Ovis aries: one gene and its partner. The protein of the gene in region 1 interacts with the protein of each later gene in a pairwise test. Links are inferred from orthologs where the notes say so. Each region holds a gene or a part of one and is shown on either strand. Other genes may lie near its edges. The genes, in order: MORN3 and RSPH1.

Region 1 (3,811 bases):
CCACGAATCAAGGCAAATTGGAAGTGGTCAAACAGGAGATGGCAAGAGTGAACGTCAACATTCTAGGAATCAGCAAACTAAAATGGACTGGAATGGGTGAATTTAACTCAGATGACCATTATATCTACTACTGCGGGCAGGAATCCCTTAGAAGAAATGGAGTAGCCATCATGGTCAACAAAAGAGTCCGAAATGCAGTACTTGGATGCAATCTCAAAAACGACAGAATGATCTCTGTTCGTTTCCAAGGCAAACCATTCAATATCACAGTAATCCAAGTCTATGCCCCAACCAGTAATGCTGAAGAAGCTGAAGTTGAATAGTTCTATGAAGACCTACAAGACCTTTTAGAACTAACACCCAAAAAAGATGTCTTTTTCATTATAGGGGACTGGAATGCAAAAGTAGGAAGTCAAGAAACACCTGGAGTAACAGGCAAATTTGGCCTTGGGGTACGGCATGAAGCAGGGCAAAGGCTAATAGAGTTTTGCCAAGAAAATGCACTGGTCATAGCAAACACCCTCTTCCAACAACACAAGAGAAGACTCTACACATGGACATCACCAAATGGTCAACACCGAAATCAGATTGATTATATTCTTTGCAGCCAAAGATGGAGAGGCTCTATACAGTCAACAAAAACAAGACCAGGAGCTGACTGTGGCTCAGATCATGAACTCTTTATTGCCAAATTCAGATTTAAATTGAAGAAAGTAGGGAAAACCACTAGACCATTCAGGTATGACCTAAATCAAATCCCTTATGATTATACAATGGAAGTGAGAAATAGATTTAAGGGACTAGATCTGATAGAGTGCCTGATGAACTATGGACGGAGGTTTGTGACATTGTACAGGAGACAGGGATCAAGACCATCCCCATGGAAAAGAAATGCAAAAAAGCAAAATGGCTGTCTGAGGAGGCCTTACAAATAGCTGTGAGAAGAAGAGAAGTGAAAAGCAAAGGAGAAAGGAAAGACATAAGCATCTGAATGCAGAGTTCCAAAGAATAGCAAGGAGAGAGAAGAAAGCCTTTCTCAGCGATCAATGCAAAGAAATAGAGAAAAACAACAGAATGGGAAGGCCTAGAGATCTCTTCAAGACAATTAGAGATACCAAGGGAATATTTCACGAAAAGATGGGCTCGATAAAGGACAGAAATTGTATGGACTTCACAGAAGCAGAAGATATTAAGAAGAGATGGCAAGAATACATAGAAGAACTGTACAGAAAAGATCTTCATGACCCAGATAATCACGATGGTGTGATCACTCACCTAGAGCCAGATATCCTGGAATGTGAAGTCAAGTGGGCCTTAGAAAGCATCACTACAAACAAAGCTAGTGGAGGTGATGGAATTCCAGTTGAGCTATTTCAAATCCTGAAAGATGATGCTGTGAAAGTGCTGCACTCAATCTGCCAGCAAATTTGGAAAACTCAGCAGTGGCCACAGGACTGGAAAAGGTCAGTTTTCATTCCAATCCCAAAGAAAGGCAATGCCAAAGAATGCTCAAACTACTGCACAATTGCACTCATCTCACACGCTAGTAAAGTAATAGTAAAAATTCTCCAAGCCAGGCTTCAGCAATACGTGAACTGTGAACTTCCAGATGTTCAAGCTGGTTTTAGAAAAGGCAGAGGAACCACAGATCAAATTGCCAACATCCTCTGGATCATGGAAAAAGCAAGAGAGTTCCAGAAAAACATCTATTTCTGCTTTATTGACAAAGCCAAAGCCTTTGACTGTGTGGATCACAATAAACTGCGGAAAATTCTGAGAGAGATGGGAATACCAGACCCCCTGACCTGCCTCTTGAGAAACCTATATGCAGGTCAGGAAGCAACAGTTAGAACTGGACATGGAACAACAGACTGGTTCCAAATAGGAAAAGGAGTACGTCAAGGCTGTATATTGTCACCCTGCTTATTTAACTTATATGCAGAGTACATCATGAGAAACGCTGGACTGGAAGAAATACAAGCTGGAATCAAGATTGCTGGGAGAAATATCAATAACCTCAGATATGCAGATGAGACCACCCTTAGGGCAGAAAGTGAAGAGGAGCTAAAAGCTTCTTGATGAAAGTGAAAGAGGAGAGTGAAAACAATGGCTTAAAGCTCAACATTCAGAAAATGAAGATCATGGCATCTGGTCCCATCACTTCATGGGAAATAGATGGGGAAACAGTGGAAACAGTGTCAGACTTTATTTTTTGGGGCTCCAAAATCACTGCAGATGGTGACTGCAGCCATGAAATTAAAAGACGCTTACTCCTTGGAAGAAAAATTATGACCAACCTAGATAGCATATTGAAAAGCAGAGACATTACTTTGCCAACAAAGGTCCGTCTAGTCAAGGCTATAGTTTTTCCAGTGGTCATGTATGGATGTGAGAGTTGGACTGTGAAGAAAGCTAAGCGCCGAAGAATTGATGCATTTGAACTGTGGTGTTGGAGAAGACTCTTGAGAGTCCCTTGGACTGCAAGGAGATCCAACGAGTCCATTCTGAAGGAGATCAACCTTGGGATTTCTTTGGAGGGAATGATGCTGAAGCTGAAACTCCAGTACTTTGGAAACCTCATGCGAAGAGTTGACTCATTGGAAAAGACTCTGATGCTGGGAGGGATTGGGGGCAGGAGGAGAAGGGGACGACAGAGGATGAGATGGCTGGATGGCATCACTGCCTCGATGGACGTGAGTCTGAGTGAACTCCGGGAGATGGTGATGGACAGGGAGTCCTGGCGTGCCGCGCGATTCACAGGGTCGCAAAGAGTCGGACCTGACTGAGCGACTGAACTAACTATAATGAGCTCAGGGCTGCCTAAGTGTGGGCTATGATTACTATGGACCAAAAGACAAAGTCTTAATTGTTTATATTTATTGCTAGGCACCCTTTTTAGAGTATAAACTCCCCGAGGGCAGGGACCAGGTCTTGTCTCCTGTCATTCACCTTAACCCCCCATTCCGAGCAGGGCTATGCGGGGGCGTGGCCCGATGGGCGTGGCCAGGGCTCTGCCTTGCAGGGCCCGGGAGAACTGTGCCTTGACGGGGTGGCCGAGTGGGCGTGGCCAGCAGGCCTTTGGGACGGGGCTGGACACTCACTCAGGCGCAACATGCCCTCCCCTTCTGGCTTGTCGTTATGCCACTGGCCCTCGTAGATGTCTCCGTTGCTGTAGTACATGCGGCCCCACCCGCTGCGCTGGTTGCCACACCAGTCACCCTCATAATACTCCTTGGGTCCGAAAAACTGGATCCCATAGCCCTGAAAGCACGAAGGTGTCCTTGTTCATGGCGCCCCACAGCACTGGGAACTCCCAGCATCCTCCCTGGTACCCAAAACACCTGGGCTTCTTCCCTCCTTCCTCCCCAAGCCCTACATCCAAGCGGATGGTCCTGTTTTGTAAAATCACCCAGGCCTTCCATTTCCCGCTACCCTTGTGCTACCGCCTTCCTTCAGCCCACCATCATTTCGCCCCTTCTCACTGATTTTCCTCCTCCACTCTCCGGTTCTCCCCCTCATCCCATGCATCTGCCATATGACTGCTGGGAGGATCTTTTACATGGCCTGTCTGATCACGTTTGTTCTGTCTTCCCAACTCTGATTTGACCCTATTAAAAGTTGCAGATGCCTGGCAATGAGATCAAAGCTATGGCGTTTCTCCCCAGAAAAATGAACATGAGCACTTATCATGTGACCGCAGAGAATCACCATGGGGTCCCCACAGATCACACCTGAAGGGGCTAGCTTATGCAGCCCAAGTCTACTCAAAAATCCTGATCCCCCACATAACCTTCAAGGCCCCCTCCTACCC
Region 2 (4,365 bases), on another chromosome or scaffold:
AAAATATGGTTAATACATACTAATAAAAACTCACTACTTTAAATTTTGCATATTGTCACGCTCAGACCTTTAAACTAGATAGACAGATGGATAGATAGATAATAGACAGATGATACAGAGAGGTGAAGTCCTTTCCTCTTTCTCCAACCCTGCCCCCCTCTTCCTCCCCGGGGGCATCCTTATCATGAATTTGGAGCATTTTCTGGAAGTGGTTCCTTAGCCAGTCTTTGAAGAATGGCTCTGGCTATAGGCAAGGCCATCAGAAGGAAGACTTCCAGGGGAAGCATCTGGCACAGGCAAAGGCACAGAGGAGGGGACGTGAAGGATGTACTGGGGACAGTGCTCACGGTTTGCTTTATTTATTTATTTATTATTTTTTTTTTTCACGGTTTGCTTTATCTGAATCATGTAACAAGTATAGGAAGGTGTTGATGGACCAGAAGGCTGAGAGGATGACTTGGGATTTGAATATGGAGATAGTGAATACAGCGGTCTGCATGCAGTCTGGTCTGCATGTGGGTTTCCGAGTAGAGGAGGAGGGTGAAGTGGTTAAGAGTGCCTAAGTCTGGAGACAAACAGGCTGAACCAGAGCCTATTGCCAGAGTTAACAAGGGGAGGAAGAAGGCCTGGATCAGGGTGGTGACAAGAGGAACTGGGAAGGAGATCATGAGGGGTCTTGGGCAGACCGAGTGTCAGATAACTGGAGGGAAGCTTAAGAGAGGCCCATTTAAGAGTGGGAATGAGTGTGAATGTGCGTGCGTGTGTGTGAGGGAGCAAGCTCCACTGGGAACTCCCAGGAGACTGGTCTCACATCTGGGATGGAGGAGGGCTGTCAAACCTGACTGGCATCAGGGTAGACTTGTATCTGCTAATGAGTTGGAGCTGACTCCTTGAGTCAGGAGAAGATGCTTACAAACACAAGAAAAGATAGCAAAGAATGCATCTCTGTGGACCGCCAACATGGAAGGGTCGGAAGAGCCCAGAAAGGTAATGAGGGGCAGGCAGGGCCTATGGAGAGACCCAAGGAACCAAGGGCCAGGGCTGAGAAGAGTCAGTGTCCACCTCTAGGAGGGGCAAGGCCCTTTCCAGAGCTGGCCTTATGAGCTTCCTCCACCCCTTCTAGTTTCAGCATCACCCAGCCGCTGGTTAAAGGGGGTGTCCTGGTAAGAGAGCAGGTGGGTACCCATTACGCCTCAGGCCCCGCCCCCCCTCCTCCTTGGGTGACGATTGGCCGAGGCTCTCCTTACGTTGTTATGACAGCACCTGAAGGCAGGCATTGGCTCCTTCCCAAGCTGTCCGGTCCCAGGCCCCACCCCTCTCTCTTCCGGGAAGGCAACCGGCGGTTGGCGGTTGCGTCCCATTGCTATGACAGCACCCGAACCTTAACGGTTACTCCTCCCCTGCCTCCCAGCTTCTCGGCCAGGGCTGGGAGGGAGAGAGCCTGGCCGTGTCTCCATGGCGACGACGGACGCGGTGGTGCAGGCAGCTGGTACCTACCGACTAGAAAGGCGCAGGCGGCAGCGGGCATCCAGACTGGGGCGAAGCCATGTCGGACCTGGGCTCGGAGGAGTTGGAAGAGGAGGGAGAGAATGATCTTGGGGTGAGAGTTCCGGGTAAGGGAGGAGCTCCCAGGGTTGCGTGGACCCTTGGAAACAGGGTTCAGAGAGTGGGGCGGCCTGGAGGCCCGCCACAGTCCCTCCGGGAGGCCCAGCCAAGGACAAGGACCATGCTGGCCACAGCGGGCGCTGCGTCCTGTAAGTTGGCTCTGAAAGGTGAAACGTTATGACGTCTGCTTACCACATCCCTTCTCGCTCCCTCCTCCACCATTCCTCCTCCCGTTAAAGGCAAAGATTTCCAAATAGAAGGCTTTGAAAGCGTCCTGCTGTTACCCTCCATGGAGGCAGTTTCCTTGAATGGCTGGTCATCCCAAGCTGGACTCTTCCGACCCTTCCACTATGCCCTCTTCTCCTTCTGCCCTCAATCTTTCCCATCATCAAGGACTTTTCCAATGCTGTTCACATCAGATGACCAAAATCCTGAAGTTTCAACTTCAGCATCAGTCCTTCCAATGAATATTCAGGATTGATTTCCCTTAAGATTGACTGGTTTGATCTTCTTGTTGTCCAAGGGACTGAGAAAGGTGCCAACCTTGCGGCTCGTTTTGGGTATAATTAGGAGTCTCTGGGGAAGGAAGGGGAGTCTTTTATACATTTTGATTTAGACTAACCCTGAAACAAATTTGTAAGGTTATAAAAGTTTGCCTTATATTCTGAGCATGAATTTCTGAGCCAAACAGTGCTAGGAAAGCACAAAAACTGCAAAAACGTTTTTTTCCTGAAGCCCTTGATTTAATGTATCTGCTGCTGCTGCTGCTGCTAAGTCACTTCAGTTGTGTCTGACTCTGTGTGACCCCATGGATGGCAGCTCCCCCGCCCCTGGGATTCTCCAGGCAAGAGCACTGGAGTGGGTTGCCATTTCCTTCTCCAATGCATGAAAGTGAAAAGTGAAAGTGAAGTCGCTCAGTTGTGTCTGACCCTCCGCGACCCCATGGACTGCAGCCTACCAGGCTCCTCCGTCCATGGGATTTTCCAGGCAAGAGTACTGGAGCGGGATGCCAATGTGTCTGAATTTGTGCTAATGTCTATCCAGATCCAAGTCCAGGTCAGATCATGCTCTGTGCCCTTGCCATTTCATTGTTTATTATTTACATGCTGCTGTTGCTGCTGTCGCTTCAGTCGTGTCCGACTTTGTGTGACCCCATAGACAGCAGCCCACCAGGCTTCTCTGTCCCTGGGATTCTCCAGGCAAGAACACTGGAGTGGGTTGCCATTTCCTTCTCCAATACACCCATGTAATTAGGTGCTTGAGAAACATGTCTTTTATGAAGGATAGAGACAATAGGGAAATGAGACACTAGTATTGTTTTTTATTGATTTACTTTAAAGATGTGTGTGTGTGTGTATGTGTGTGTTACTTGCTCAATTGTGTCCAATTCTTTGCAACCTCATGGACTATAGCTCTCCAGGTTCCTTTGTCCATGGAATTCTCCAGGCAAGAATACTGGAGTGGGTTGCTATTCTCTTCTCCAGAGCATCTTCCCAACTCAGGGGTCGAACCCAGGTCTCCTGCATTGCAGGCAGATTCTTTACCATCTGAGTCACCAGGGAAGCCCACTATAAAGGTAGATATGTAATTATTTTCCTATTGGGTTATGAGTGTTTGAACTTTAAGTCTCTTGAGTTTAAAAATAAGTTAAACTGAATTGAGTTTGGAAACTCAAGCTGACCATTGAGCCTGGTTCATTCCTCAGCTCCCCCTGTTCCTCTCCTGACATCAGAGCTTTCCTCAAGGTCAAAGCTGTCTTCAGGCCATGGACACCCAGGGATGATTTGTATTTTAAATTATGGATTATTGGAGGAAGGTGGGTTCAGGACCTGCTCCACCTGCAAATGCTATTAATACTTCCAACATGTCCTTGTAAAGGACACAACTTGGACTATCTTGCATTTTCCCCCAAGTGGTTGGTTTTGTTTACAGTGTAAAGGATTATCATAATAAAGTGGAGGGAAAGAGTGAAAGTCCGCCATGAACAGGTACCAGCTGTGTGAGCTTGGACTGATGCTCCGTGTCACCCAGGCCTGGAGCCTACCTCACCTGTAAGACAAGGTCAAGGGTTGGGAGAATTCAGTGGAATGCTGTTGAATTTATGAAATGCTTAGCACATGGTTAATGCTTAATAAAGAGTAGCTGTGATTATCTTCTGTCCAGGAGTATGAAGGGGAACGGAATGAGGCAGGTGAACGGCACGGACACGGAAAAGCGAGACTGCCCAATGGGGACGTATATGAAGGGAGCTATGAGCATGGTAAAAGACATGGCCAGGTCAGAATCGGTGACTTGAATGGGTGGTTTTCCCGATTTAATGCTCTATTAGCAATCATTAAATTCAGGAGTGATATAAATTATATCATCACTGTGTTTCAGGGGATCTACAAATTTAAAAATGGTGCTCGGTACGTCGGAGAATATGTTAGAAACAAAAAGCACGGCCAAGGCACGTTCATCTACCCAGATGGATCGAGATATGAAGGTGAAGTGTTACCACGAAGCAAACCTTCTTGCTGGGGGGGTAGGGAAGCTGTGGGGTGAGGGTAGACCCGGGGTAGTAGGGTGGACCCAGACTGTTGGTGCTTGGTGGTTTTCTTCTCCTTGGAGTTGTTTTTTTAGATGATGATTCTTTCCCTGAGGGCTTCTGCTCTGGGAGGTGTTCTTACTCTGCCGTAGCTGTAACCTCTGTGTTACATGGCAGAGTTACGTCTCAGGAAGATTCTTGCCCCCTAACATGAACCTCACTGTTGCTCCCCC

Evidence for each region.
Region 2: the proteins of MORN3 (region 1) and RSPH1 interact in binary tests that used the Homo sapiens proteins (3 or more experiments, as listed by UniProt). The two-hybrid records come from large-scale screens. The link is inferred for Ovis aries from reciprocal best matches to the Homo sapiens genes MORN3 and RSPH1.

Annotation. Positions count from the first base shown.
Region 1 is NC_056070.1:53,626,150-53,629,960, reverse strand, and holds part of MORN3 (MORN repeat-containing protein 3), read right to left. Parts: intron 3,262-3,811; coding exon 3,102-3,261; intron 1-3,101. UniProt on the Homo sapiens protein: Assembles a suppression complex (suppresome) by tethering SIRT1 and MDM2 to regulate composite modifications of p53/TP53.
Region 2 is NC_056054.1:263,452,695-263,457,059, reverse strand, and holds the start of RSPH1 (radial spoke head 1 homolog), read left to right. Parts: upstream 1-1,460; 5' UTR 1,461-1,546; coding exon 1,547-1,600; exon of another isoform or gene 1,601-1,774; intron 1,775-3,768; coding exon 3,769-3,882; intron 3,883-3,984; coding exon 3,985-4,090; intron 4,091-4,365.